Notamacropus eugenii: one gene and its partners. The protein of the gene in region 1 purifies or fractionates together with the protein of each later gene. This does not show direct contact. Links are inferred from orthologs where the notes say so. Each region holds a gene or a part of one and is shown in the gene's direction. Other genes may lie near its edges.

Region 1 (7,743 bases):
TTTAGCTCAGAGCCAAAAGAAATCCTAGGAAACAGGCCGAGATATGATTCTGGGAAGGATTAAAAAATTTTTTTTCAAGATCTGGTAAGCATTTAGATCCTAAATTTCCTACATGATACTAAGTGTCATCTTTTTTTTGTTTTGCATACAATACCAACAAGGTTGAGGTTCAGAAGAATAGACACCTTATAATCTGTGCTTGCTGAGGTAATCTTTGTCTATATGATAACATATTGAAAATGTGTTTATTTCTATGATTTGGAGGGAAAGGTGTGATTTTCCTAGCTGTTGGTGTTTTGGTTTTTTTTTTTTTTTTTAAATATTAACCCTGTCTTGGCTCTAAATCAAATTATCCATATCTCATTTAGGACAGTTTAAGGCAATCAACTTCCTTGCGGCTAGTTAAGAGCCATCTAGTAAGGGCCTAGAAAGATCCTGTGAAGCTAGAGCAGAAAAAAAAGCCAGTAACTCCTTAGGGAAAATGGGAATAGTTGTAGACTTTGATAACTTAACCTACTCTCTCAAATACTTCTATCCAAATATACAAAAGTATAATGAGTACTTTTTCTACTTCTCATCCAGTGACAGAATAGTAATAAAATTTTCTATTTTGTTAGGGAAGGAGAAATGTATTCATTTACTGTTACATGATGAGTGTAAGTCACCTTACAAATACGATGTAAATACCAAAGAAAGGAAATACGTTAGTTAGGACTGAATGCTATTACTCCTTCATAGAACATGTTTTATCATTTGGTGTTAATCCCCTGACTTTGATTTGCACAATAAATTTCACATCTGGGAAGAAAGCAAAAAATCTGGTAAGCCAATTACCTATTTTGTTCATACCTAATAAACCAGTTTCTACACCATCTTCAGTCTTCAAATTCTCAGCATGCAATTCTGTAAATACAAAAGGAGGTTTAGATTGGTAAAAAAATTTAGTTCCTAATAAATCAGAAAGCACTTATTCATCAACTTTGTGAAAGGAACCTGGACTTTAAAAATAAAAAAAACCAGCCCTCAAGCTTATATTCTAGTAAGTGAAATAGGTATACATACAAAGACATACAAAGTACAAGGTAATATTGGAGGATGAGGGAGAGTTGTGATCAGGAAAAAACCTTGAGTAGGAATTCCTGAGTTAAGTGTTAAGCAAGGTTAAGGCTTCTAAGAGGTAAAGGAGTAGAAAGCTTCAAAAGCACAGACAGAACGTCACACGTAAAGGACAGTAAGGAGGCCAGTTTGCCTAATTTAAAGAGTTTTGAAAGATAGGACATGTAATAAATCTGGAAGGTAAGGTGAAGTATTTTTGTATCTCAAAGGCATATGATCTTTTGTGGAACATGTCAGACCTATGCTTCATTAATATCACTTTGGCAGCTCTGTGAAAGACTGAGAGGTGAGACGCTTAGAAGACCAATAAGGAGGCTTTGTAATAGGCCAGATAAGAGGCAAATGGCTGCAATGGAAAGAAAATTACAAGTAACAGATGCAAGAGCTTGGGGGGGCAAAAAAATTTTCATGACTAGCCAACTGACTGGATAAGGAAGATGAGTTTAGAGTGATTGTGAGCTCTTGTAAGGGGGATAATAATACCCTAACCACAAATAAGGAAATTCATTAAGAGGAAACAGCACTGACAGGAAACATCAGAGGAGTATTTGGGGGTGGAACTTAATCCTTCAAACATTATGATAAATTGTCTTTTCTGTATGAAACCTACCATGGACACTAGGTAGCAATGCCTTCCATTAGGAATCATGCAAAATGAGGGGGGACAAAGTGGATTCTGGATTGAGTTCCTAACAAAGATTTTTTTTCATTTTTATTTTATCTCTGCATCCTGACTTTCCTCAAGTCCCACCTTCTGTAAGAAGCCTTTACTAGTCCTAACTTTAGAGCCTTCCTTCTGAGATTATTTCCTATTTATCCTGTATACAATCTGTTCATACAGTTGTTTGTATGTTGTCTCCTCCATCAGACTATGAGCTCTTTGAGGAAAGGGGCTGTTTTTGGCCACATATTTATCCCTAGGACATAGCAAAAAGTAAATACTTATTGACTTGACTATATGTACACATAATCCTTGTAAAGTTTCACATAACTAAGGTAGGTAGGTACTACCTTCCTTTTATTTAAAAAAAAAAAAACAAAACTCCAGACATTGATAAGATAAATGGTCTAAATTCAGACTAGTGTTTCCAAACTTTTTTGATTCTGTATCTCTTATCAATAAAAAAATTTTTGAGCACCTACCCCTAATACACAAATTTACTTATTTATAAGTTATAAAGGTGCTACTGTACTAATTATCTATATTACAAAATTTTCACAATATGATGAAATAATATCTGATCCTATAATACAGAACTATAGGACCAAGTACAGGAGTGATATGCATGGTCAGACCAGCATTTCAGGATAATAATCCCTTTGGCAACTGTGTGTAGAACAGACTGGAGAAAAGAGATCTGAGACAAGAAATCAATTAGGAAGTTACTGCAACAGCAGGGGATGATGAAAGCCTGAAATACGGCAGCAGCTGGGGGTAGAGAGAAGGGCAGTTTCAACTGATGTTGTACTACCAGCTAATATAGTGCTCAGGTTTTAATTAGGCTATAACCGTCTAGAGCCCAAATAAGACCAAAAGGGAGAGACTGGGAGGGTGCATAGCTATGGAAGGAATCATATTGTTAGGCAGTAAAGGATGAAGAAGGGTTAGTATATCTGACTGGAAAACAATCCTAGGGAGGCAGGTGATTATGAAGTGGAGGGTGAGATGTGATCCATCTAACTACTGCTGGATCTCCACTACTAATTTTACTATGAAAGTGCTTGAAAAGTATTTGTTGGAAGTATAAGCCAATGAATTGCCATTTTTAAAAGAGCCCCTAACTCCAGCACTTCCATATCATTGGTTTTCCGACTTCCATAAAAGATGATAAAAAAAGATTTTTTAAAATGGCAATGACAAGTAATAAACTGAGCTAATAGCAGCTTCCATACAATGAAATCAGTATGCTTAATCGCTCTGGGACAGTAGTTGGTGAGTATCTGGGGGGCTCTATCAAATCTGGCCTCAGACTCTCCCCAGAGATGTCTTAACCCGGTCTGCCCGTTTCCTCCTCCGTAAAATGAGCTGGAGAAGGAAATGATAAACCACTCCAGTATTTTAACCAAGAAAATCCCAAGCGGGTTCCCAAAGAATAGAACACTGAGATGACTGAACCAGTGGGTCGGTAAGGTATCCGAGTATTAAGACCCCACCTCCCCACTCGCCCTCCGCAAACAAGCCTTTACCAGTCCTTCCTCTGAGACCGTCCCCCATTTTAACCTGTACAGACTTGAATCGTTTCCATCTAGTTTTCCCAGTATTAGACAGAGGTCCTTGAAGGCAGGGGCTGCCTTCTGCCTCTGTCACCAGCAGCACTTTGCACAGTGCCTGGACAAGTACTAGCTGACTAACGGACAAGCCGAGGTCCCACGCCCCTCCACTCGGCCGTCGGCCCGGCATTGCTCGGCGCCCCCACGCTCCCCGGGCAGTCCCAGTACCTTTCACGACCATGTAGACGATAGCTAGCAGGAAGGCAAGGAGGGCGGCGAAAAGAAGAGAACAGACCACCGACAGGACCCGCACCGGCCACCGCTGGCCACGGGGAGTTCGGGCGGCCTCCGGGACTCTCACGGTCACCCCATTCTGTTTCTGCAGCTGAGGCGGCGGCGTGTCCGCCAAGAGCTCCGCTCGCAGGTCCCGAACCACTTCGTCCACCCCTCCGTCCTCGTCATCATCCTCGCCTTCCCCCCAGCTACCCCCAACCTGGGAGGGGGAGGCGTTGGCAGGCAGGACCAGGGAGGCCGGAGGCCCGAGTCCACGCTGGCGAATCGATCGGCTCCCACTAGCCAAGAACGACATGGCGGGAAAACGGACAACGGAACCCGGAAGCTCAGGGATTTCCTCCCTCCCCCTTCCCCCCATTAGCCAATTAGCGCCCCGAAGGCTCTCCGGGGCCTACCAAAAAAAGACCTGGGGGGAGCGCCCCAAGCATGGGGAGGGGGCCGCAAGAGCGCCCGGGAAAAGTGCAACGAGAAATGAACCCCACGCTGGGGACTGAGGGAGGAGGAAGGCAGAGGGAAGCAGGGGTAAACGGAGAAGAGGACGGGAGGGGAAAGCAGACATCTCCAACAGGACAGCGTCCCCCCCTCCCCCCACCGGCGGTGTAGGGTCCCAGCCCCCAGACCTCCGCCTCCACCACCGCGTAGCCTCCAGGCAAGCCGCGTGCCTCACGGCCCAGCAGGCCACTCCTAAGCCGCAAATTCGGGCGCTCGGTCCTAGCGCCCGCCGCCATTGCTGCCGTCCGCACCCCTCTGAAACCCCTTCCCTAGTCCGTCTGCTTTTTTCTTCCGTCGTCCCCTCTTAGGCACGCGAGGGGGCTTTCTCGTCTTCCGCCTACACGGCATCTTTAGCGCGCGACGGCCTGTCTCTTCTCTTGCCTAAACTGCTTCTTCCCATCCCCCTATTCGGCTTTCAACCTCCCCACTTCCACACTTCCCTTCTCGCGCAGTGCCGCGTCACGCTCGCCGCTCTTCACCCCGGCCATCGCGTGCTTCGCCAGTCTCGCGCTTTCTCACCCGGTGCCTTCCGCGTCCACGAGCCCCCTCCTCTTCCCCTCCTCCCTCCCCTTTTCCTCCCCCCTCCCCCGCCCAACCTCGAGCGGCGCGCGCGCGCATCCTGTCCCAGCCACCGCTAACGCTAGAAGCTGCTTCCCCCCCTCCTGGCTCCCCGGCGGCCTCAGGTTTGTGGGGCGTGCGTAACTCGGGTGGGGGGTAAAGGCGGCAGCCCCCCCACTGCCCCTCCCCCTACGGGGTGAGGTGGCTGTTAGGCCCGGGAGGCTGGGGCCTACGTACTCTTCTCTTCCCCGGGGGAAGTTGGTGGAGTTTTCCCGGCGGGGGACTCGGCGCAGAAACTTCCTCCGTCCCCCTCCCCCCCTCCATGCAGGCGACGCCGAGCGAGGCCGAGGCCGGGGGCGAATCGCCGCAGAGCTGCGTGCAAGCTGCGCGCTCTGATTGGACGGCGGGGAAGCCAGTCAGCTTATTGGCCCCGCTGATCCCGCCCCGCAGCTCCGGGCAGCCTCTACCCTTTGGCCCCAGCGGGCGCCAGCCACTCAGATCGCTCCTTGTTGGAATGTGTAGCGGCAGCGGCCGCCGCCGGAGCAGCCTCAGCCCGACGATGAGGCCGGGGACGGGAGTCGAGCGTGGAGGCCTCATGGTGAGTGAAATGGAGAACCGCCCTCCACCGCGGGGTCCCGGGAACGGGGAGCGGAGACTGTCCAGCTCGAGCCTCTGCTCCAGCCCATGGGCCTCTGCGGACGGCTACCTGAGGAGACGGCCCTCGGTAAGGGAGCGGTGGGGCGGGGGAAAAGCGGCACAATGAAAAAAAGAAACAGGAAGCCTTCTCCCTGTGGGGAAGAAAAAAAAAGGTGGACGGAGGAGAAGGCCTGAGGTGGCGGGATCTGGCTCTGACGGAGGGAAATGGAGGGCGGAGTAGCACAAAGGAAAGGCTGTGGGTCCCTGGGAGGTGGGTATTACTGTGGCGAAGATGGAGGAGGGAGCTCTGGACAGAACTGGTGGCTGGGTGGTGGCAGCAGAAGTCTGCTTTGGGGTGCAGGCCTGATTTGGCCAGGATAGTGAAGGGAGGAATGTGACTTGTAATGAAAGAAAGGAAAGAGTGAGCAAAGCTGGGTTGAGTTGCTAAGCGTGTAATTACTTTGTGTGATTGGGCACCTTTGTGGCCTAAATAAATTATTTGGATTTTATAAACTTAGTAAAGCAGGTACTCTTTCTATGGCACTTTTTGTACATAGCTTGCCGAATGGCCAACCAGCAGTAGTTATTTACTTTTAGAGCTGAAAGTGGTATGAAGTAGCTTTTCAGAGAGACAGAATGTTTTGATCTACCTTAGTAAGAATTTTTCGGGGAAATGACAGGTTTGACATTAGAAAAACAACCACAGGTAGCTTTTGTAGTATTCATTGAACCTTTTAAAATAACCCGTCATTTATTTGTAAGACAAAATAATTTAGTCTAAAATTTAAAAGCCGGCCTTGATACATAGGCAGAATAATAATGAGTTCTTTTCTTCCCCAGAATTGGTCTTAAAATGAGTTTTTCGTTTCCTTGGCATACTATATTTTAGCGCAGTAACTTACTAAGATACTAATTCTTTTTCGTCATTTTTGATTATCCATAAACAGGCAGTTTTTCTCCTCACTCTTCCCTCCCTTATAAAGTCCATATTTTATAAATGGTTAAGTCTCAAGTTCCTCAGTGTTGCCAAATACCTTACCACCTTACTTCAGTGATAACAATTCTTGATGCTTTGGGGGTGGGAAGACTTTATTGTTAATTGATGTTTTCTTCACTAACACTGTTTTTCAGATGGGACACCCTGGCATGCATTATCCACCCATGGGAATGCACCCTATGGGTCAGAGAGGAAATATGCAACCTGTACCTCATGGAATGATGCAGCAAATGATGCCCCCTATGGGAGGTCCTCCAATGGGACAAGTAAGACAGTTTTTAAAATTATATTTGCTTTGTAGCATTACTGTGATAAATAATTTAAAGCTTGGATAAGTGTTAGTAAATGAGTCTAAGATTCATATTTCCCCAAAAACACATTCAAAGGTTTCAAGTGAAATGAAATGTCGAATTCTGTCCGTAACCAGAGTTTTTGCTGTATTGAGGCTGTCGTCCACATAAAAATGCTCATCATTTCCATTTTGAATAGCAGTTTTTTGGTAGCTTAAAGGTTATGTTTTTAGTTGACTGATTGGATCTTTTCAGGCAAGTCAATTTTGTCTTATGCCCTAGCTGCAAATCTAGAAACTTTCTGTTCATTTCACCATGTCTTTTGTGGGTTACCCAACTGAGGTAAATGTATATAAGAATAGGAAAACCTACATCAACAACTTTGTTTAGGTGTTTGCCTTAGAATTTGAGTGTTATCGCATTTTTTGATACCAGAACAGTCTTCTTGCATTTTCCTGTTCCACATTGCTAATTTTCTGTAGGACATTTTTATTTTGAATTAAGAAAGTGCTTGTTGATTTTCTTCACTCCTATTGATGAACTATCCCTTCTCTCTCTAGTATAAATTGTAAATAGGAGTGATTTGTATCAGAAAGCTTCATTAGTGCTAACTCAGTGACCCTGTAGTGTTCTAATCAGGGAGAGTAACTAAATTCAGTAATTGTGACTGATATTTATACTTTAAGTCTGTTAGATGCTATGTGAAATATAAGTAGCTGGTTTCTCTCCATAAGAGTCTTGATATTGAAAAGTCATCAGAAATCTAGATTGTAATATCACATGGAGGCAATCAAGGGTGCTGAGTATGATCTTTCTCTAGTTAGTTTTGTTTAGTTTGATATTTGTTAAAAGATCATTGTTCATAGTGAAATTGCATAGCAGCCAGGAAGGAAAAAGAGTCCCTTTTTTTTTTTATTTTAAATTAAGAATAGAAAGGTTTATCACAAATACTTTTCTTCTGTGTAGTTTTTCTATAGTTAAACCAGTAAGTGGTTTAAAACTCTTTATTCAGAAGTATCTGGCCGAAGAGACTGGCTCTTTGCCTGTAGCATCTCTTTAAATAACTGAGCCATTGGCCTTCTGACCTAGGAACAACATAAGTTTCAAAATTCTCTTGGTGGTGGAAAAACAACTCTGTGATCCTTCTTC
Region 2 (7,917 bases), on another chromosome or scaffold:
TGTCTTTCAATTTAATTCAACAAACATTTATTAAACACCATTTAGTATGGGGCAGGTGCCTGGGATGAGGGTACAAAGACAAAAATAAGTAAATAAATACAAAGTACACATATCAAGTAATATAAAGTGATTTCAAAAAGGAGAGAGTGCTAACAACTTCTGAGGGAGAGAAAGCAGGAAAGGTGGGACCCAGCAATGCTTTGGAGGAAGCTAGGATTTCACCAAGGAAAGCTGAAGACAGCACATTCTCGACACAAGAAAATCACTATGCAAACATAGAGAGGTAAGAAATGAATGTAGGGAACAGTTAGCAGGCCAGTTACATTGGAATGGAGAATGTGTAAAAGGGAATAATATAAATTAAGACTGGAAAGGTAGATGGGAGGCAGACTAAGGAGTTTTATATTTTATGCCACTGGATATTCCTGAGAGCTAGAGTATATGATACAGCCAGATGCATGTTTCAGAAATATCAGTTTGGTAACCATGTGGAGGATCATGAGGGGAAGAGACTTGAAACAGGGAAAACCCAATTGGGAAATGATTGCAATAATTCAGGGGAAAGGGGATGAGGGCCTAAACTACCAGGGCAGTTTTGAGTAGATCATGTAGCAGATGCGAAGGCAGGGAAGAAGAAAGGAATGAGCATTTATGTAGCTGTTGCTTACTATGTGCAAGGCACTGTGCTAAATGCTTTTTACAAATATTAACTCATTTGATCCTCGTAACAATCTTTTGAGGTAGATACTATTATTATCACCAACTTACATTTAAAGAAACTGAGGCAGGCCAATTAATTGCCTTGCCCAGAGTTACACAGTTGGGAAATGTCTGACACCAGATTTGAACTCTGGTCTTCCTGACTCCAGGCCCACTGCTCTATCTACTGTGCCATAGAACTACTTCCAAAATTTGGCAAATTATTAACTACAGAATAGTCAATATAGAAAATTGACTTCCTATAGAATAGGAAGACAGAAAAGACAAAGAGGAATCAGGTTTTGAATATGGATGACTCGAAGAATTGTGGCACCACCATAATAATGGATAAGTTTCTAGGAAGGATAGGTCTGGTAGGAAATGTGAGTTCCGTTTTGTAATGTTGAGGGTGAGGAGCTGATGGGATATCCAAGTGGAGATTTGTAGGAAGAAGTTTGTAAGAAGGGCTAGATTAGGACTTGAGATGCAGATTTGGGAGTCATTTGCATAAAAATGATAAACTGATTGCCAAAAGACAAAGATCATAGAGAAGAGGGAATTAGAGCTTTGGGGAATTCACATGTAGGGTTCGAAGAAGGACTATGAAGGAGCAATCAGACAAGGAGAACTGGATGAAAATCAAGAGAATATCTAGAACAAAGATTCTTCACTTAGGGTCTATGGGATTGCTTTATTTTGATAACTGTATTTAAAAATATTTGATTTCCTTTGTAATTCTATGCATTTTATGAATTTTAAAACATTCTAAAGAGGGTTCCATAGGTTTCACCGGACTGTCAGAGGGGTTCATGACACAAAAAAGGTTAAAAACTCTTGATCTAGAAGAAGAGAGTAGTCAACAGTAGCAAATGCTGTAAAAAAAAAAAAAAAGGTCAAAGAGGAAGAAGACAAAAAAAAAAAAATCACTGAAATTCATGGAATTTAGAGTTGCAATGGAACTTGGAAGCCAGTTAGTCCAGGTCATACTCAAAAGGAGTCTCCCCTAAAGCACATGTGACAAGGAGTCATCCAGTATTTTACAGAAATATTCTAATGAGGGGGAATCTAGCACCATTCCAAGGAAGCCCACTCAACTTTTGGAAGCTCTAATTGTTAGAACATTAAGCTAAATTTGCCCCCTGGTAACTTCCACCCATTCTTTTTGATTCTGCCCTCTGAGGCCAAACTGAACAAATCTAATACTTTTTCCACAAGGCAGTCTTTCAAATACTTGAAGACTATCATATCCCGACTTGAGTTTTCTTTTTTCCAGGCTCAACTTTCTCAGTTCTTCCAACCTCCTACAACATATACTTAAGGACATTTACCCTGTTTATTCCCCCTCTGTATGCTCCTTGACTTATCTTTATCTTTCTTCAGTAGTGGTACCCAAAACTGAACAAAATATTCTAGATATGATCTCACTAGGGCAGACTATAGAAGGGCCATCACATCCTTATTCCTAAAACCTACTCTCATGGAGCTCAAAAATGCACTAACTTTTTTTAGTTGCCTCATTACATTGCTGGCTCCATATTGAGTTTGTAGCCCATGATAATCCCCAGATCTTTTTCAGAGAAACTACTGCAAAGCTGTCATCTCTTCTCTATCCTGTACCTGTGAAATTTATTTATAAAATGTCACTTTTGATGTTGGAAAGGAGTTTCAACAGAAACTGGGGGTGGAAGCCAGACTGCATGGGGAGGAAATGGATGAAGAGGGTAAAACTGAAAGTAGAGTGTAGATTACTTTTTCTGCTAGATTAGCAGAGAAGAGGAGGGATTATGTTATATAGCATAGTTTCTTGGAAGAATGGCAAGGTCAAGAAAAGGATTTTTTATGCCAAGGAAAATTTAAACATGTTTGTAGGCATTAGGGAAGGAATTAGTAGAGGAAGAGATTGATCAATGGAGCAAGGTTCCAGAGTAGACAGGAACAGAATATTTTGAAAGATGCCAAAATAACTTTTCTAAATTACAAGTCTGGCCCCAGTTATCTTTTTTTTTAATCAATCCATCTTCGAGAACTATCAATGGTTCTTCTTTGTCTCTAAATGCAAACTCTTTATATTGGTATTTGAAGTCCCAAATTATTCCTCTTCACATATTCTAAGTTCCAGTGGTTTATTTGTTAATCACTCCCCAAATTTAACATTCATCTTCTATTTCCATAACTTTGTACAAACTGTCTTCCATGCCTATAATGTACTCCCTCCTTAACTTTATCACATCCTTCATCAAATTATTAAATAATCAATACTAGTATTCTTCTAGCAGAATGTAAACTCCTTGAGATCAGGGACTGCTTTTTGTTTTATCTTTGTATTCCTATCATCTATGAGTGCCATGAATTTAGCAGATACTTAGTAAATGCTTGATGGATTGGATTAGATCAAAAGTATAAGCAATAATTGTTCTTGTTTGGTTGTTTCAGTAGTGTCCAAGTCTTCAAGACCCCATTTGGAGTTTTCTTGACAAAGAAACTGGAGTAATTTGCCATTTCCTTCTCCAGTTCATTTTAGAGATGAGGAAATAAGGCAAACAGGGTGATGTGACTTGTCCAGGGTCACAGAGATAGTAAGTGTCTAAGGCCAGATTTGAACTCAGAAAGATGTCTTCCTTCTTCCAAGCCCAAATGAATATCAATCACGATGATAAAGGGTGCTGGGTCTTGTGATGGTGTGGCATGAAGATTAGGTGAAAGAAACAAGAATGTTTATCCTGGAGAAAAGAAGATTTGGGTTGTGAGTCAGGGATGACAGAAACTGTCTTCAAGTATTTTAAGGTTTGTAAAATTGATTGGCACTGGAGAGAAGAACTAGGAGCAACAGGTCAGCAGAAAACCTGGAGGTTGGGTTAAAAACTTCCTAACAATCAATTATTTAAAAATAATTCTAGTTTCCCATTCTCTGCTCCCCCTCCTTCATCCTTCTGTCTCTGGGCCCTAAGGAGCAGAGTCCATTTCGTGTTAAATACGGGTTGGACAATTCACATCCCAGTTCTAAGTAAGCCAATAAAGATTAGATACAGCCCCACCAAGGGGAACATCCTAAAAGAGAAACAAATGATTACCAGATCTTATACAAATTGTTGTGTTTGTCCTTCCTTCTCCAAGAGGACCATGACATCAAGATGATGACATGACTTGCAGTTGACTTTGATTTGAGTAAGGGAGGGCTGTGCAAGGTCACCAATCTCACTTCCTTCTGCTGAGCCATCTGGGTCCAGCGGCCTGACATTCATCAGGAGGACTGGAGATGGCCCAGGATGCAATGGGAGACCCTGGCCCTTTCGGGTCTTATCCCATTCTCACTTTGAGTGATATGCAAATATCACCTTTGTGGTAGAAGACATTGATCTTTCATTTCAAATACTTATTAGCTTCTGAATCAGGGAACATTAAATTGAACCTTTCAGTCTTCCAGGCAACTCCCTGGTTGGGGTCTCTCTGTAATGGGAGAGGGCCCCAGTAGAAATCACAAATCAGATCAAACCCTTACCAATCCCTCCTCCCCCCATGACCCTCTTCTCCACCAAAATACCCCAAGTGAGCTCACTCAGAAGTGACAAGGGACAGCACCAGAGTCTGGCATTTTGGCTGGCCTGTGGTAACAGAACCCGGCCCTATGGCCCTCTGTCCTGACAGGCCTTACACAGCTGACCAGGGCCTCCAAAATCCCTTGCAGCTTTGATCCCCAGATGGTACTAAAGTCCTCTCTCCTGGTTTTTCCTTTTCTTCCTTTTTTTCACCAACCACAATCTGGGGCAATTCTTGTAGAAGAAACATCTGAAAGTTGCCAAAATTCCAACTTCCGGTTGGGATCGCTGGCTTCTTGGAGTCCAACCTCGGGGGCTATCAGCAACCCCTCCTGCGTAGAGAGTCCCTGTTTACGAAAAGAGAGTCCGGGCTTCGTCCAAATGCTCGACGACCTAATGTCATGCGTAGTAGGAGGCTCCTTCGGCAGGCAACTCATCCCTTCGGCCACCTTGACCTCAAGATGGCGTCAAGGCGTCGCAAACGTCAATCGGCCCCAAGCAAAGATGGCGGCGAGCGACGGAAGTTACCGCCCCCTCGATCCGGGCCTTTCTAGCCTTCCCAGCCTTCTCTATGATTATCCGCCTCCTGCGTGTGAGGCGTCGCTCAACGGAGGCGACTCTTGAAGGCGCTCTCTCTATGGTTCCCGCCTCCAATTCTTTCGGGCCGCAGTGCACGCCGGCCTAGCGGAGGACGTCCGAGAGCACCCCGCGCAGCGCGGCTGGCTCTGCGGCCTATGCGAGCAGGCAGGCGCCTCGGTATCAATCACACGGGCGAACGGCGCGCAGAAACTCCGGGACCGGCTGCGGCCACTCGTAATCCGGAGCCCTAGAGGCCGCAAAGACGGTACCATTTTCTCAGCGGCGGGTGAGTGGGCTTCGCGGAGCGCACGGAAGGGAAGGGGAGGGGAGCAGAGCGGGGAGAGGCGGGCTGGGCCCGGCCCGGGAAGGGAGGCAGGAAGGCGGGCGGCGGCGAGTGTCGGAAAGGGCCCGGGGACAGGAGAGGTAGACGGGGACCAGGCTTGAGGACGTCTCCGCCTCTACCGCCTTAAGCCAGCGGCTCCGGCTCGGGCCAGGCAGCCCCCGTGGAGACCCCAAGCTTCCCGGCAGGGCTTTGCAGCCCCTCTGGCCTGGCGCTGCCCGGCCCCGCCGCTCCGGGGCCCGGCTGCCCTGCCACGAGGAGGTGGGTGGGCAGGCACCCCACCCCCCGCCCGTCCCACCCCAGCCCCTCCGCTTGCCCCCCCCACGCCCTTGCAGAGTGTGTGCCCGCAGCTCCCAACGGCCTGCCTTGCTCAGCCACGGACCTGAGCCCCACCCCCATCCTGCCCTCTCCTCCTTCCAGACCCCCACTCCCGGCCCGCCTCCCCCTCCTCGCTCCCCCGTGGACGCCTAGTGTTACTCAGCAGGGCCGTGTGTGAGCCCTCAGGGTTGATTTTGAATTGGCAGAGTTCTGCCCTTTAAACTGCACTCTGCCTGCCATTCATTCTGGGCACCTGCCATTCTCCAAAATGTCCTGAGGTTTGACCTCCCTCGCCCCCCCCAAAAAACCCCTTTTTTTCGTTTCCTCTCCCTCCATATCTCCTCTCTTCTCCTTCCCTTTCTTTGGTCTGGAGTCTAGTGTGACATCTTTAAATACTTAAGGCAAATAAGTATGCGTATACATAAAGGTGTCAGTCGATATTAAGTGCCTACCATGTGCCAGGCACTGTGCTAAGCCCTGGGGGTACAGAGAAAGGCAAAAGACAGCCCCTGATCTTTGGCAACTTACAGTCTGATGGGGGAGATAACATGCATACAACTATAAGAAGACTGGTTCTGAAGTGGTTGTAATGTAAATTTATAATGGAGAGATTTTGGGCAAAGTGTGAGGTGGACAAAAAAAAAAAGCCAAAAAGTGCTTCTCTCCTGGGCTTGTTTTCTTAGAATCTTAGGATTTTAGACTTGGAAGGGAGCTTAGACATCATCTAGTCCAACCTCTTCATTTTACAGATGAGGAAACAGAGGCCCAGAGAGGCAAGTGCCTTGCCCAACATCATGCAGCTAGTTAGTGGCAGAGCTGAGACTAGAGGCTAGATCTGCTGACTCTGTCTCCTCTTTCCACTACACCAGCTCCTGGACCTGACTGCCACAGTAGGATGAAGTAATATGAATAAAACATGGTAATATCAAGTAGTTGTTAATGTGGGAGGGGACTCTTCTTTCAACAGAAAAATAATCAATGAAGGTTTTTTAAACATTATCTTGACATTTTGAGTTTTTAAAAGGTCATATTGCAAGATAATCTAAGCTCCCCGAGAGAATTCAGTAGGTCATCTAGACCCATCTTCTACCATTCCGTTCCTTAAGTATCTCCAAGAAAGAACATAATTTCACTGTATTCTTGACAATTCAATTGGTAGTCTAAATAGACATTTTAAAAACAAATTTAACATCCTTTATTTCCACGTTTGGAACTTATTGCTGAACTTTTTTGTGTGTGTCCTTGTTAATGTTGCTTTTTGGACATGGGGGAGGGAGTAAAAGATGGAAAAGGCTAATTTTTTTTTTCCAATTTAGTTAGTATTCACTTAGCATGTAGTCACTTGCTTGATTTTGGAAACACAAAGGCAGAAATGGAGTATTCCCCTGTCCTCAGTGCATAAGCTTTGATATGCCAGCTAAGTGTAAGGAACTTATGCTAATTTGTGGGGATTGAGAGGCAAAAATGGAGTGGTGCTTGCTGTCAATGAACTTTTTAGAAAAGACATGTGTGACTGGAAATATAATAATGTTAATAATATAACAATAAAGAATATATGCAAAATTCATATAATGTAAGTTAGGGAGGAAGAAAACGGGGAGAGTGTGTGAAGGAGGGGGATGAGAGGATGAGAACAACCTAGACATTTCATGTAGAAGGTGGGTCTTGAAGAGAGCTAGGAATTGGGGGGAGTGGTGTTGAGAATGGAGTACATTCCAGCTAGTGCAAACTTGGGAAAGTGGAGGTGTCTTGTGAAGTATAGGAAATTGGCCAGCAGTGTGTTTGGAGGGGAGTAATGTGGAAGAAGACCAGAAACTGGCTCAGGTGGGATGAGCTTTAAATGCTAGAGGATCCCAGAAGCAACAGGGAGTCAATGAAGTTGACCCAGTAAAGGTAGTGCAAAAGAGTTTATATTCTGCTTGGGAGATATGAAGAGCAGATTCATCATGTTAACAGATAAGTAGACACAAGGTAATTTGAGGAGAGAAGAGGGGTAGGGATGTTTGTGTAGGAAATGGGACCTCAACTGAGTCTTGGAAGGAAGGTTATACATTTCACTAATCTCATAGGCATGGAAAATGATCTGAGAGGTCATTCACTTAAACTCAGTAGTATGGATTTTGAGATGTGGAGATGAGGACAGTGTAATCCAGGAATGAGGAATGATTTACACAAATATAATGGATAATATGTTAAATTTGGGGAATAAACAGCTAGTCTTCCAATTTGGTTGGAACATAGAGTGCACAAAGGAGAAATATGAATTGTCTGGGAAGACAGATTGGACTGAGGTAATGAAGGTTTTAAATGCCAGGCTAAGGAGTTTGAATTTTACCCCTAGGTGCAAAGAGCAAATGATTTGGACAGTGAGTGTTTTGAACAATGAAGTGACATGGTTAGGTCTTTGATTTAGAAAGATTGTTTTGGCAAATTCGTTGGGAGATG
Region 3 (7,711 bases), on another chromosome or scaffold:
CCACCCCCAGCTGGGAATTGATGTCTGGACTCTTCACACCTTTTGGCTGTTCTGGGTTTCCATCCACTGGGGATAACCAATACACAGACACAAGCAGGAGAGGATGCTTCAAGAGGACAGCAGGCCTCCGCCTGGAAGGAGGGAATCAGCACCTGGAAATGGCTGCCTTGGACCAGGTACCTGAGAAGTCACCCGGGCTGAGAGGAGAGATCCTTAGGGTGGACTCCCCCAAGGAATGGGAGGGCAGCAGCCAGGACAGGACATGCTCATTCACTGAACGCTGCATTCATGAATTCTCAAGTTTGAGAACACAAAGACTAGAAAGAAAGGGAGAGACAAAGACAGACAGACAAAGACAAACACAGAAGGAGGGAGACAAACACAGATAGAAACAGAGACAAACAGAGACAGACAGAGAGAGACAGAAAGAGAAACAGAGACAAATGGGGGGGAGACAGAGAGAGAGGGAGAAACAGAGAGACAGAGATAAAGACAGAGATACAGGGACACACACAGATAGAGACAGAGACATACAGAAAGAGAGGGAGAGAAACAGAGACAGACAGAGACAGAGAGAGATACCAAAAGATAGAGACAGTGAGAGAGATAGAGACAAACACAGAAAGAGAGACAGGGACATACATGGAGATAGAGACAGAAAAAGGGACAGAGACAAATAGAGGGGGGAGAGACAGACAGAGACAAACAGAGAAAGAGAAAGGGAAAGAAACAGATAGATGGAGACAAGGAGAGAGAGACACACAGTGAGACAAACAGATAGAGACACACACAGATAGAGACAGAGAAAAAGACAGAAAGAGGGAGAGAAAGAGATAGACAGATGGAGACAGAAACACAGAAAGACAGAGAGAGCCCCAGAAAGATACAGACACACAGTGAGAGAGAGAGAAACAAAAACAGAGAAATAGACACAAGGACAGAGACAGAAAAACAGAGAAAGAGAGAGGAAGAGAAACAGACTGACAGAGATACAAGGAGACAGAGACAAACAGAGAGAGAGAGGGAAAGAAACAGAGACAGACACAGAAAGAGAAACAGAAAGACAGGATTGGGCAGACAGGGACAGAGAAAAAGAGACAGACACACACGCAGAGATAGACAGTGATAGAGACAGAGAGAGACAGACAGAGAGAGACAGAGAAGTGGGGATGGCTATACATATAAAATTAAAAGGATTAATTTTGTACAGATATTTAACAAGAATAAATTAAGGAGACCAAAGACACCCTAAAAATCACCATTGTCATCAAATGCTTGGTCTACTTGCCAATCAGAGACTGAGCAAGCCAAGGCAGTGCTGCTTTAGGCTACAGGGTATCCCAAATTTTTGGTGCTATTTTAAACCATTCATTAAAGCTGGTGGCTATTAAAGCCACCGAATCCTAAAACAGCTCTACGATTCTGGGGTCAACTCACTTGTAAAATTCCATCAGAATTTTCAGTTGCCAAAATGGTCAATTGGTGGGAAACATTAATGAAGGAAGTCAGTCAGTCAATGAGCATTTACTAAGTAAGGATTATGTGTCAGGGCTGGGCCAAGCACTGGATATACAAAGCAGGGCAGAAGACAGTCACTGGCCTCAAGGAGCTCACAGTCCAAAGGGGAAACAATGCACAAAAACTCATGTCCATACAAGATGAAGTGAAGACAGTCACCGGTGGGAAGACACTAGTGTCAGAGGGATGGGGAAAGGCTTCCAGTAGTAGGAAGCCAGGGGGGTGTAGAGGAAGGAGAGCATTCCAAGTATGGGGATGGCCATTGAACACATCTGGAGTTTGGAAATGAATCATCTCATGTGAGGAACAACCAGGAGGCCAAAGTCACCAGACCACAGAAGACATTGCCAGGCAGTCTGAAAAGGTAAGAAGGGACCAGGTTGTGAAGGACTTTGTCAAACAGAAGATTTTCTATAATATGTAAAACACATTTATTTTTAGAGATATCTAATTTTATCTTTATCATAAATGTCTATTTTACTTATTTTACATGTCACCCAGAGGCAGTAGGGAGTCCCTGAAGTTTATGGAGAAGGGGGTGTCAGGATCAGAACTGTGCTTTAGGAAGATGACTGGTGGCTGAATGGAAGATGGACTGGAGTTGGGGGAGGGGAGGATGAGAGCAATACCCAATTATTTGAAGGGCTCTCACATGAGAAAGGAACTAGACTTAGAATACAAAAAGTAGAAGCTAAAGAGAGGCTAATTTAAACTTGATTTGAGTTTTTAAAAATTTCTAACAATCAGGGCTATCCAAAAGTGGAATTGGCTGCCTCAGGAGGCAATGGGTTCTATTTCATTAGCCATCCCTAGGCTACTGCAATAGACCAAGTGTGAGGAGATGAGGGACAGTGTCAGAGGAGAGAAAAGGGGCTATCGGAAAGACCGTCCAGAGATGCTCTAGAGGTGAAATTGGCAGGCCTTGGCACTACATTGGATCTAGGGGGTTAGAAAAAGTGACTCCATGTTGAATCCTGGGTTGTGACCTTGAGGGACTAGGAGGACAGTCATAAGGAATGTAGGAGGAGGGGAGGGTTTAAGGAGAAAGAGAAGTTTTCTCCAACATTTTGGGTTTTATATGTCTGCTGGATGTCCAGTTTGAGATGTCTGGAAGGTTATTGGAGGTGTAAGATTGGAGTAGAGCAGAGAGACCTGGGCAGATTGGAAACCTATCAGCACAGAGATGGCCATTGAATCCAAGAGAGCTGATGAGGTTTCCAACCGAAGTAGGAAAGGGGGAGAAGAGAAGAGGCCCGAGGACAGAGCCTCATGGATCTCCCATGGTTGACCTGGATGAGAATCCAGCCAAGGAGACTGAGAAGAAGCAGTCAGATGGGTAGGAGGAGAAGCGGGAGTCCTGAAAACTGAGAGAAGGGAGTGTCCAGGAGGAAGGAGTGATCTACAGTGTCCAAGGCTGCAGTGGGCTTGTTGAAGTAAAGGATTCATGATGAAAAAATGCGATCCACCCCCAAAGAACTGACCAACTCGGAGTGCAAATTGAAGCATCATTTTCTCACTTCATTTTTTAAAAGATATGGCTAATCTGGACATACGGTTTGCATGGGTTCACACGCACAATTGAAATACGGCTTCCCTTCTCAGTAGAGGGAGGGAGGGGAGGCTTTGGCAGCGAAGAGGTGACTGGGGAGAGTGGTCTGGTGCAAGGATGAGACTGGAAGCTGGATCGTTCAGGGGTTAAGAGAGTGGGGAGAGGAAGCGGAGGCAGCCAGTGTAGACGCCTTTTCAGAGTCTGGCCACAAAGGGCAAGAGAGGAATGATGAGAGCGAAGCTGGAGAGATGACAGCCGCCAACAGGAGAACCGAGATGGGAACGCAAGGGGAGCATTAACAACAGGGCAGCCGCGGAGAGAAGCCGAAGGGAGGCTGGGGATGGTCCTGGGTAGCGGCCCGGAGGCCGTTTGGGCCAGCGGAACAGTCACGAGGCAGCCCCCCGCGGCTCGGTCCCTCCGTTGCCACGATCGGCGGTTGGGTGTTATCTGATTTTCTGCCATGCGGAGCCCCCTGGTGGGGGCAGTGTCAGAGCCGGCGGAGGCAGCTGGGAGTGGCTGGACCGGACCGGGGAGAGGCTGGCGGCAGAAAGGACACTTGGGTTTTAGGGGGATGGATTAACAGAGTCGAGGTAGGCTTCAAACACTTATTCAGCGATCCAATTCAATAAGCACGTATTAGGCGCCTACTGTGTGCTAAGCGCTACAAATAAGAAAGACAGCGCCCGACCATCGAGCGGGGGGAGACAATACGCAAGAGGGAGCGGGGTCCGCCCGCACCGGACCAAGAGGAGCCGCAGACGGAGCCCCCCTCCAGGACCTTGAGGTGGGCCGCCAGGAGCCACCCAAGTCAGTCCACTTCACCAAGCGGGCCCCACCCATCCCTTCCTGAGCCACACTCCTGGGCAGTGCCCATCCCCAGGGCTGTGATGCCCCTGGTCTTACCCTCCTTGTGCCAAGGCTCCACGGCCCGCACAGCTTCCCTGCCCCCAGCCCCCAGCCCCAGCTCAGACTCAACCCCAAACCCTGAGCCGTCTCTCCATCCCTTCAGTGGCTCTGGGGCTCTTCTGGAGGCCTGTCCACTTGTGGGCATGCTTTTAAAGGATCACAAATTTGGGGACTTGCGTCAGCCCCCAAGCCTTCTGGGTGTGGCAGTCCCGTCAGACCGTCAGACCCTCGAGGGCAAGGCGTGGAGCATACAGCAAGGGCTTCATAAATGCTTAAGGAAACACAGTCCAGGCCGTGGGGGCACCCGAGGTGCCCGAGCCTCCGGCCACTTAGGACTAAAGGACTGTCTCCAGAAGGCCCCAGTGGAGGTGGGGGGAGGAGGCCCTGGGGGGAGGAGGCCCTGCGAGGCGGAGGAGGCCGAGGGGCCGCGGCAGATGCCGAATGCCCCCAGGCCGCCCCGCCCTCCCTCCCTCCGCTTACTCCGGAGGGAGACAGGCGCAGGCGCCGGAGCCGGGAAGCCGTAACTATGACAACGGCTCCGCCCCCGAAGCGGGCGGGGGCGGGGGCGTCCTCTGGGACGCTCTAGGCCGGGCGGGCCGCATCTCGATGGTACGTCGGCGGCGCTCTGGGCGGCCCGCTGCCTCTCGCTGGTGCGCGTGCGTACGTACGGCGGCGCCCTGGGCGGCGCGCACGCGCTCTCGCTGGCACGCCAGGAGGGCGGGCGGACGGAGGCGGCGGCGGGGCCATGGCGGCCGTGCGCGGCCTGCGGGTGTCGGTGAAGGCCGAGGCGGCGGCAGCGGCGGCGGCGGGGCCCCACCTGGGGCTGCTGGGGCCGGGCCCCGAGCGGGGCGAGCCCGAGCCCATGGAGGTGGAGGAGGGCGAGCTGGAGGCCGTGCCAGTGCGGCGCTCGCTGCTGCCGGTAGGACGCCGGGGGTCCGGCCTCCGGGTGGGTGCGCCCCTCAGAGCCTGCCGCCGGGCGCGCCGGGGCCGTTGGGCGGCAGGGAGCGAGGGCCGGGGTCGGGGTCCCCCTCACCGCCCGTCTCGTTCTAGGACACGAGCCGCCGCTACGAGAACAAGGCGGGGAGCTTCATCACGGGCATCGACGTCACCTCCAAGGTAGGGAGGAGCCCTGGAGCCGGCTCACCTGGCTGGGGCTCCCGGGCGGAGACTTTGTTGCTTTTGCCCCCTCCCACAATGCACCTCTTTCTGTTGGGGATGGGGAGCCCAGCCGGAGTCTGTCTACACCCGCTTACGTTGGAGCGGCCAAGGGCTGGGGAAGGCTTCCTGGAGGAGGCCGGGCGGGCGGCGGGGAGGGGGGCGAGGAGGAGGAGAAGGCAGAGCTTTCCAGGCAAAGGTTCGGAGGCGGGAGATGGAGGGGGTGCCACAACGGGCACTCGAGTTCCCATTCTGCCCCACTGGCCAGCTGGGGGACCAGGTCAGTCAGGTACCTGCCTCTACCTTGATATCTCCTCCTGAAAGACAGATCAGGTGAGGAAGCTTAAGGAAGCACGTGCCCAGGTCCTGGCACACAGTAGGTGCTTAATCAGTGCTTGTTCCCTTCCCCCCCCCCCCCCCCCCCGCGGGGTTTGGAAAGGGGAGGGGCTTCCCCACCCTCCTGGCCCCAAGGGTTCTCCTTCCTCGGGGCTCTCCCCGCCTGTAAAGCAGCCCCCATGGGTGAGCCCAGGCTGGTGCCGATGGTCCCTGGCCTGAGAGAACTGGGCTCCCCCCTTGCCCTCTCCCCTCCTCCCCCTCTTCCCTCCCCCTCTTCCCCTTCTCCCTTCCCCCTCCCTCCTTTCCCTCTCCCCTCCTCCCTTGCCCTCTCCCCTCCCTCTCCTTCCTCCCCCTCCCCCTCCCCTTTCCCCTTCCCCTTCCCCTCCCTCCCTCCTCCCCCTCTCCCCCTGCCCCCTTGCCCTCTCCCCCTCCCCTCTTCCCTTCCTCTTCCTCCAGCTCTGCTGGCCTGCCTTGGCCTCAGTGTCATGGGGCCTGTGCACCTGATGCTGTGACATTCAGAACCTACCTCACCTTTTCCTCTGTCAGTCACTTACTAGTGTCCGGCTGGGGCTTGGCATGGGATAAGTAATCGGTAGGTGGGTGTCCAGGTCTTGCCTTTTGCTCAGGACCAAGTCCTGGGCTCTTTGACTGTCCTCTGATAACTCAGGCCACCTAGGCCCCTGCTCCCTGAAAGCTCTGCCCCCTCCCCCACCAGCCTGTGGGGACTCCTGTCCTCCTCACTGACCCAGGAGGCGACATGGCCCACTGTCCAGACCCGAGCATCCAGGGGCCTGGCCTCCTGCACTTGGGAGTGGAGAGGAGGGAGTTTCCGAATAGCGTGGGAGATGAGGTCAAGGGTCAGACTTCATGCTCCCTGCCTGGCCCACCACCAGAGGGGCAGGGAGGCTGAGGCCGGGGGGCTCCGAGTCTCAGCCTCCGCCTTGGCCTCGACCCATCTCATTCTCTGGGGTTCCTCGTGCTCTTTAGGAAGCTATCCAGAAGAAAGAGCAGCGAGCCAAGCGCTTTCACTTCCGAGCCGAAGTCAACCTTGCCCAAAGGAATGTGGCCTTGGACCGAGACATGATGAAGAAAGGTAGGAGACCCCCCACCCCCACCCCCAGCCGAGAGCTGCAGTGAAACTCAAAGGCGTCCTGACGTTGAACCAACCACACTACTGAGGGAAATGAAGCTGGTTTCTGTCTGTCTTGAGGAGGGTAACCTCCAGGCACTGTCACCAATGGAAGGGACCCAGGAAGGCCTAAACTACTTATCTGAAAGTCTGCACTCATCCCTCATTCCCCAGCTGGGAGGGTGTGAAAATTGGGGCTGTGGCGTGAACCCCTGGGTTCCTGCCAGGGTTCCCTGCGATGACAGCGCTAGGTCTCCCTCTTCTTAAGACTCCAGAAACCAGTGACTCCAAATGCCTCCCCTGTGTAGATCTAGACCGTACTGGGTAATCCCTCCATGTGGGTCTTCTTGGAGGTGCAGATCCTTCCCAGCCCACCCAGACCTTCCTTCCAGGTGCTCATGGAACATGTTGGGGGATGGGCTCCTTTGGATCTCCTGATCTCCTTGAGCCACACATAGATCCCTACATATTTCCCTCTTATTGAACAAGTCTGACAGGCTTCTCCTTACCTAACTTCCCATGGTTCTGACCTCACTTGAGCCAAAAGATGAGCCTCAAGGTCACTGATCTAGAGGGATGTGTGAGGAGCCTGCTGATGCCCTCAGGAGACTGGGGACCACATCCAAGGCTTGAGCCCCAGCAACCCAGACCTGGGCTGCCCCCTTCAGATCTAGGCTTTGATTTTCTCCCCTACCTGCTCCAGGTAAAATAAGATGGGGGCCTGTCACCAACATGCCTGGCCCTCTCACCCCCCAACCAAGCTAGTACTAAGGCCTGTCCAATTCACCACCTCTTGTCCATTTTACCTCTGCGCCTTTTCTTGTCCATTCCCCCCCACCCCCCACCATCTCTTGTCCATTTTACCCCCTGCACCATCTTTTGTCCGTTTTACCTGCTGTACCATCTCTTGTTCATTTCACCTCTTCAGCATCTCTTGATTAAGCCCCTTCCCTTATCACCTCATGCCTGAACTATTACAGTAGGTACTGGTGGGTCTACCTACCTCAAATCTTTCTCTGCTCTAGTCTGTTCATTCACCAAAGTGATCAAACTCCAGTGATTCCCTAATGTATCAAATAGTAAACACTTATATTTGGCATTCAAAGCCCTTCATGACA
Region 4 (6,985 bases), about 200 Mb from region 1:
TGGGGGTTAATGGATTGCAAGTGTGATGTGAGTCAGCTGGGCAATATGGATAAAAAACTTCTTGTGATCTTATAACTTAAGAGAGTTGTAGATTTCAGGAATAGGAAGGTGACAGTCCCACTGTCCTTTGCCCTTGTCAGACCTCATCTGAGTACTAGGTTCGCTTCTGGGTACTACGATTTAACAAGGACATAGATAAGCTGGAGAGGTATGAAGGAGGTTAGCCAGGATGGTGAGTTAATATTGAGTCCAACATAAGCATTGGTCAAAGTAACCTAGGATGTTGAACCTTAGAGAAGATTCAGCTGGCATATGGTATTTGAATTACTCTGCAATTGTGGGCTCTTGTGTCCAACAAGGACAGGACTTACTGTTTGATCCTTGAGGGCAGAACCAGGAACAATGGGTAGACATTCTAAAGAGGCAAATTTAGACTTAATATCAGGAAAACCATCCCAACAGTTTGAGCCATGGGCAGTTTCAAAAGGTCCCGGGTCCTTCTCAAAGGTCTGTGAACAGAAGCTTGGCTGCCAACCTCATCCAAAAGAATGGCCTTTTCTCAAACCTCATGTTCCTTGACTTCTTGGCAATCATTGCTAATGCAGATTAGCTTCCTGACACTGCTCTAACCTGGTTCTCCTAGCTGATGGCTCCTTCTTGATTTCTTTTGCTGAAGCTTCATCTAGGAGATTAACCTGTTATCTCCCACAGGGCTCTGTCCTAGGCTCTTTTTTCTTCCTGCTTTATCCTATTTCACTTGGAGACTTCATCAGATCCCATAGATTGAATTATCATCTTTATTCTGCTGATTCCCAAATCAACTTTTTCAGTCCTAACTTCTCTGTTGCCCTCCAGTCTCCCAGCTCCAATTGCCAATGTACATGTCAAACTGGAGTCCTGGAGACACCTTACCCTCAAGATATCCAAAATGGAATTCATTATTTCCCACCCTCTCCATCTTCTCTTCCTAACTCCTCTGTAACTGTCCAGGTACCATCATTCTCCCAGTCAGCCAGGCTTTCAACTGTGGTATTATCCTCACTTCCTTAATCTTGATGTCTTCCCCCATAACCATGTGTTGCCATGATCTGTCAATTTTACCTTCACCACCTCTCTTGTAGTACAGGCCTCCTTCCCACTTCATTCTGACACCACTGTGGTACAGACCCTCAGCCCCTTATACCTGGACTCTTTTAAAAAATATTTTATTTTCCTCCCAATTACATTTAAAAAAATGTTTTTTAACATTGGCTATAAAATTCTGAGCTCCAAAGTCTTTCTCTCCCCCTCCTTCCATTGAGAAGTCAAAGAATTTGATATAGATCACGCAAAACATATTTCCATGTTAGTCATGTTGTATAAGACTACACAGACCAAAGCAAACAAAAAAAAAAAGAAAAGAAAAAGTATGCTTTGATCTGCATTCAGACCCCCACCAATTCTTTCTCTGGAGGTAGAGAGCATCTTTCATCCTAAGTCCTTCAGAATTGTCTTGGATCATTTTGTTGCTGAGAATAGCTAAGGCATTCACAGTGGATCATCATACAATATAGGTATTAACTATATACAATGTTCTCCCGGTTCTGCTCATTTCCCTTTGCATCATATAAGTCTTTCCAGGTTTTTCTGAGAGCATCTTGCTCATCATTTCTTATAGCACAGTAAGTAGTATTCCATCACAACCACATACAAAAACTTGTTCAGCCATTCCCCAATTGATAGATGTCCCCTCAAAGTTCAATTCTTTGCCACCATTAAAAGAACTGCTATAAATATTTTATACCTGGCCTCTTGAAATAGCCTGCTGACTGGTCTTTCTCCTTCAGATCTTTCCCCAGTCCAGTCCTAAAAAGCACAGGTCTGACCATGATACCAGCCTACTACACAAACTCCTGTGGTTTGCTATTACTTCTAGGACCAAATATAAAATATTCTAGTTAGTAGTTAAAGCCCTTCAGAAGCACCTCTTCCCCAGTTTTTCCAGTCTTTTATATCTCATATCACCTCCCATCCACTCTTTGATCCAGTAAAACCAGCCTCCTTGCTGTGTTCTAACAAGACACTCTATCCCTGCCTCCACCAACCGACTTCAGGCATTTTCATTGACTCCCCTTTCTTGGTTTCCATAAGAAGCCTCTGCTGTTCCTTCTTCATTCTATTGACTTCCTCTCTGTTGGTTGTCTCCAGTATATTGTCACCAGATTGTACATAATTGTTTGCATCTTGTCTCCCCTTTTAGACTGTGAGATCTTTGAGAGCACGCTTTTTAAAAAACTTTTAGTACATAATAGAGGCCGCTAGGTGGCGCCACAGTGCACAGAGTGCTGGGCCTGGAGTCAGAACTGTCCTCTTGAGTTCACATCTCAGACGCTTACTAGTTGTGTGACCCTGGGCAAGTCACTTCACCCTGTTTGCCTCAGTTCCTTCTTCTGTAAAATGAGTTCTAGAAGGAAATGGCAAACCAGTCCAATATCTTCGCCAAAAACCTCCTCCAAAACAACGAAACCTAAACGGGGTCATGTAGAGCCAGACACGACTGAAAAAACGACCAGACGACTGACAAGCAAGCCCTTGATAAATGCTGATTGACTGGGTGAGCCCGGACATCATTTCACTTCCCTGTGCCTCAGTTTCCTCATCTGAAAAACTGGAACAAGAGCACCTCCTTCACAGGACTGCTGTGATCGAGTTAGTCCAAAGTGGAGGACTTGGCCAACGTTAGTGATACATGAACGTCAGATAGCAGTATTACTCTTCACAGCCCAGCACCTAGCACAGAAAGGGCTCACAAAACGCAGCCCATGAGAAGCCTCCAGCCTGCCCTGCGGTCCTGGGAAGGCACACCGCATCTGGCCGTGAGCTTGGTCAGATCCGTGCTGGGTGAGAGCTGTGCCAAGCGTGGGCCTGGGCAGAGCGTGCCTGGGGGGCTTCGGAGGAATCCCTACTGTGCTCTTGCTTTTACTTGGAAATAAACCTCTTTGGGAAAGAAAAGGAGAGATCCTCCGTGTCTGCTGTCTCCACTAGGTGAGAACACTTTGATTGACTCCCACCATCCCCTGGGGCGTGAGGAAAGCCTGTGAAGTTCTGGAGCTCTGGAGGCCCTTATGCCCAGGACATCCGGGGCAGCCCAGGGAGGGAGAGCAGCTCTGCTGGAGTTCTGGGATCATCAGGGGATGCTTGGCTAGAGACCCAAGGACCAGGGGGCCTCTTTCCCCCAGGCTACCCCCTGGCAACGTTCTGGGGCCGCGACCCTGGGGGGCCTGGGGCTCTCCGGAGCTGGAGGTCCCGCAGAGAGCAGCCCGGCCCCGCCACGGGGCAGCCCGGGGCTCTGAAAGGGACCCCAGCTCCCTAACGCCCAGAGGGCGCCCTTGTGGTGTCCCAGGCTGCACAGGCTTTAGTTTCGTCGTTCCGGACGGATCGCGGCCCCGCCCTCCGGGGAACGTGACCCTTTCTTTCTGTAAAGCGGGGCTGGACTGTACTGGATGAGTGTGTCACGTGGAGGACTCTTTTCTTGGTGAAAGGACACTTCTGGTTGCGAAGAAAGGTGTGATTCACCCAGCTCGCGGAAGGCGGCGGTTGAGCGAGTACGAAAGAGGGCGAAGGAGAAAGCAGCAGGCGCATGCGCCCTGACAACGTTGGCCGGGACGGGGAAGGAAAAGGGCGAGCGGAGGACGATCGGCGCGTGCGCGCTGGACTCTTCCCCGGCAGCCCTCCCCGCCCCAGTCGATTCTGCGCGTGCGTACTGGTTCGCGGGCGCGCAAGGATCTCGGCGTGGCCCCGCCTCCCGTCGGCCCCGCGCTCGCGCCAAGTTCTCGCGAGACCCGCCTCCCTTGGTCGGTGCGTCTCTCATCGCCGGGCCGCGCTGGTGCCTGTGTGAGCCGTGACCGGACGGACGGGCAGAGTGACGGAGTGACGGAGCGAGCGCCCCGGAGCCGACAGCGCTGCCGGCCCCGCCGCCGCCCCCGGCCTCGGCCCCGACGCGCCACGAGGCCCCCGAGCTCCAGGAGGACGACGACGAGCCGCCGCCGCCGCTCTTGCTGCCGCCGCCCTCCCCGGGAGCCCCGCCCGGCCGAGGGGGCCGCCGCCGCCGCGCGGCCGGTAAGTGCAGTAGGCCGGCCTGGCGGCCGGGGCCCCGCTGGTTACCCACAACTCCCTGCGCCCGCCGGTACCCCCCCCCCCTTACCCACAACTCCCTGCGTCCTCCGGGGGCACCCCCCCCACCCGCACCATTCTGCACCCGCTTGTCCCCCCCTTACCCATAACTCCCTGCGGCCTCCGGGACCCCTCTCGCTACCCATACGTCTTTGCGCCAGCCGGTACATCCCGCACCTCCTTCACCCACAATGCCTCACGGCCGTCGGGGACCCTCCCCCTTGCCCCCTGAATCCTCTGGGACCCTCCCCTTGTACCCGGGGTGCCCTGTGCCCGTCGGGACTTCTGCCCAGACCCCCTCCTCACGGATCTCGGCCCGCCAGCCCCTTCCCCGCCCTCCTCACCCGCGTCCCCCTATGTCGCAGGAGCCCCCTCCTTTACCCAGAGCCCTTTGCGGCGCCGAGGCCCTGCTCTCACCCTCGTTGTCGTTGTTGCCCACGTTGGGCCCCCTAGAACCCCGGGAAAGCCCCTCGTGGGAGGTGGGCCCGGGGGGCCTGTCACTGAGGGTCCCTGCGTACCCCCGGAGGCTGGGCCCAGCGGGGAAGGGAGGTGGAGGCCAGGTGCCTTTGTCCCCCAGACTTGTGACCGCCATCTCCTCCCTCCAGACCCTGTACACCCGGCATCATGACGCAGTTCTTGCCTCCCAACCTCTTGGCCCTCTTTGCTCCTCGAGACCCGATCCCCTACCTGCCCCCCCTGGAAAAGCTGCCCCATGAGAAGCACCACAACCAGCCCTACTGCGGCATTGCCCCCTACATCCGGGAGTTTGAGGTGAGTACTCCCACCACCCCTTTCCAGGACTGGGCCCAGACCCAGGCAGCGGCAGGAATCCCCTTGGGGGCAGTCAGATCACTGGGTTCCTTTGGAAGAATTGGGCTCAGCTGGTCCATTCCAGCTCCGTGGGCATCAGCAGGCTGGGTGCTTCCGTTGTGGAGTGAGGGGGCTCGGCCCCTTCTGGTAGTGATGTTTGGAAGATCTGAGGGAATGCCTCAAGTTTACGCCGAGGAGTTTTGTAGGACTGGCAAAGGGCAGAGGATGGGCAGAGAGCTGGGTGCCAGGGAGGCTGACTTCTCTTCACTGCTGTGGAATGTGACCAGAGGGATGGTTAGCAAACAGCTGAGACCCCTGAGTTTGCTTTTGCTGAGGACAGACAAGAAAACCCCTCTTCCCTTTGTTACAGCCTTAAGAATGTGGCGGTTTAGAGAGTGCTGTAGGTCTAGTTCACTTAGATTTCAGCAGAGCATTTGGTGAGAGTCTCTTCTGTAATTCTCCTGCTAAAGGTGGCACGAGGTGCTCTTGAAATGAATGCACTTGTATGTGGTCAGCACTTGCTGAATACCAGCCCCCAAGGGTAGTGCAGAGGAATTCTTTTTGATCCTGGAAGGAGGCCTTCAGTAGGGGCCCCTTGGAGAGAATCTTCACCAGTGAGGGATTCAATCATTTCTGTTGGTGCATTGCTAACCATGTTTGCAGGTGACACAGAGCTAGGAGGTAGTGAATGTATTGGGTGACAGAATCAGGAACCAGAAAAAAAATCTTGATAAGCTAGACTATTGGGGCTGGCCAAAGTAAGATGAAATGTTGTGGAGGACAAGCACCAGGACTTGAATTGACTTTCATATGCACAAGATGAGAAGTAGGTGTTGTAGAAAACAGTCCAGAGCGAGGTGTTAGGTAACCACCCCCACCCCTGTGGAGCTCTGTGGCCTAGTCTTGGGGTCAGCCACTTAGGCAGGTGATTCAGGTCGCCTTGTCCTCTGCCCGAGTTCATGAGAAGTGAAGATTTAGGGAATGTGGTGGGTTTCTCCCGGCATATGAAGGACTCCCTCCCTCATGACAGAAGGGAGGGCAGAACCCCGAGCACTGGGTCAGAACAAAAGTAAGGCCTCTGGAGGCTCACCAGGGAGCAGAGGCTAGGCAGCCACTAGGGGTTGCTGTAGTTATGGGCATACTGATCACCGAGGTCCCTTACTAACAGTCACTAGGATTTCTAATGCACTTTAGGGTTGGCACACATCTTTACAAAATTTATCTCATTTGATTGTCACAACAACCCAGGGATGTAGGTGGTCTTATTATTCTGTTTGACAGATGAAGAAACAAGGCCGGAAGAGTTGAAGTGACTTGCCCACTGTCATACAGATAGCGTCTGATACCAGACGTGAATTGAAGTTTTTTTGACTCCAGGTCTATCCCTCTCCACTAGGATGCCCTGTGATTGAAAGTAGAATTATAGAGAGTAGTATGTCAGAGCTGGTAGGAAACTTAGAATACCAGTGTGGCAAGCTTGCTTCACAGCTGAGCAGAGTTGGGGGGAGAGAGGGAAAAGGTGGTGGTCAGACCAGGTGAGTGGTGCTAAAGCAGGAAGGGGGTTTGGGGATAGGGTGGTAACAAAGGTAACTTCCTTGGCAAATCTTTGTGGTGTCTCAGTTTAGTCCTGCTACTTCTTAACCCCTTTTTTTGTCCTTAGGACCCCCGTGATGCCCCTCCTCCAACCCGAGCAGAGACGAGGGAGGAGCGGATGGAAAGAAAGGTAGGGGACTGTTTGGACCTGGCAGGAAGAAAGGAAGGAAATACAGGCTCTTCCTCATGGAGTTTTGGGGTCCTTAGAGGGAAAGGTTGGGGTCTGTGTGAGTGAGGCAGAGGTCACATCCAGCTATGGGGTAGAAAAGACTTTGGGGTTGGTCTTTGAGCTGAGCTGAAGGAGTACTTAGAGAGTGGGCAGACCTGTGAGGAAGAAGACCTGTGTTCAGGGGCTAGTGCGGTGGCTACCTTGGCTGGAGGAAGTTGGCTCACACCATATCACAGAGTCTGAAGGGAGGGGACTTTAGGG

Evidence for each region.
Region 2: the proteins of PRPF40A (region 1) and RBM25 purify together in Homo sapiens (affinity purification with mass spectrometry; 5 studies listed by BioGRID and IntAct, with this or other methods). This does not show direct contact. The link is inferred for Notamacropus eugenii from reciprocal best matches to the Homo sapiens genes PRPF40A and RBM25.
Region 3: the proteins of PRPF40A (region 1) and NCBP3 purify together in Homo sapiens (affinity purification with mass spectrometry; 3 studies listed by BioGRID and IntAct, counting the BioPlex papers as one, with this or other methods). This does not show direct contact. The link is inferred for Notamacropus eugenii from reciprocal best matches to the Homo sapiens genes PRPF40A and NCBP3.
Region 4: the proteins of PRPF40A (region 1) and SNRNP70 fractionate together in Homo sapiens (co-fractionation; 3 studies listed by BioGRID, with this or other methods). This does not show direct contact. The link is inferred for Notamacropus eugenii from reciprocal best matches to the Homo sapiens genes PRPF40A and SNRNP70.

Annotation. Positions count from the first base shown.
Region 1 is NC_092876.1:210,021,955-210,029,697, reverse strand, and holds the start of PRPF40A (pre-mRNA-processing factor 40 homolog A), read left to right. Parts: upstream 1-4,734; 5' UTR 4,735-4,993; coding exon 4,994-5,395; intron 5,396-6,438; coding exon 6,439-6,570; intron 6,571-7,743. Other genes in the region: ARL6IP6 (ADP-ribosylation factor-like protein 6-interacting protein 6), read right to left, coding at 835-903, 3,556-3,979.
Region 2 is NC_092872.1:293,561,451-293,569,367, reverse strand, and holds the start of RBM25 (RNA-binding protein 25), read left to right. Parts: upstream 1-4,903; 5' UTR 4,904-5,100; intron 5,101-6,221; 5' UTR 6,222-6,388; coding exon 6,389-6,391; intron 6,392-7,917. UniProt on the Homo sapiens protein: RNA-binding protein that acts as a regulator of alternative pre-mRNA splicing. Involved in apoptotic cell death through the regulation of the apoptotic factor BCL2L1 isoform expression.
Region 3 is NC_092877.1:388,341,881-388,349,591, reverse strand, and holds the start of NCBP3 (nuclear cap-binding protein subunit 3), read left to right. Parts: upstream 1-4,703; 5' UTR 4,704-4,718; coding exon 4,719-4,919; intron 4,920-5,023; coding exon 5,024-5,089; intron 5,090-6,451; coding exon 6,452-6,557; intron 6,558-7,711. UniProt on the Homo sapiens protein: Associates with NCBP1/CBP80 to form an alternative cap-binding complex (CBC) which plays a key role in mRNA export. NCBP3 serves as adapter protein linking the capped RNAs (m7GpppG-capped RNA) to NCBP1/CBP80.
Region 4 is NC_092876.1:12,373,675-12,380,659, forward strand, and holds the start of SNRNP70 (U1 small nuclear ribonucleoprotein 70 kDa), read left to right. Parts: upstream 1-3,968; 5' UTR 3,969-4,098; intron 4,099-4,757; 5' UTR 4,758-4,776; coding exon 4,777-4,923; intron 4,924-6,622; coding exon 6,623-6,685; intron 6,686-6,985. UniProt on the Homo sapiens protein: Component of the spliceosomal U1 snRNP, which is essential for recognition of the pre-mRNA 5' splice-site and the subsequent assembly of the spliceosome. SNRNP70 binds to the loop I region of U1-snRNA.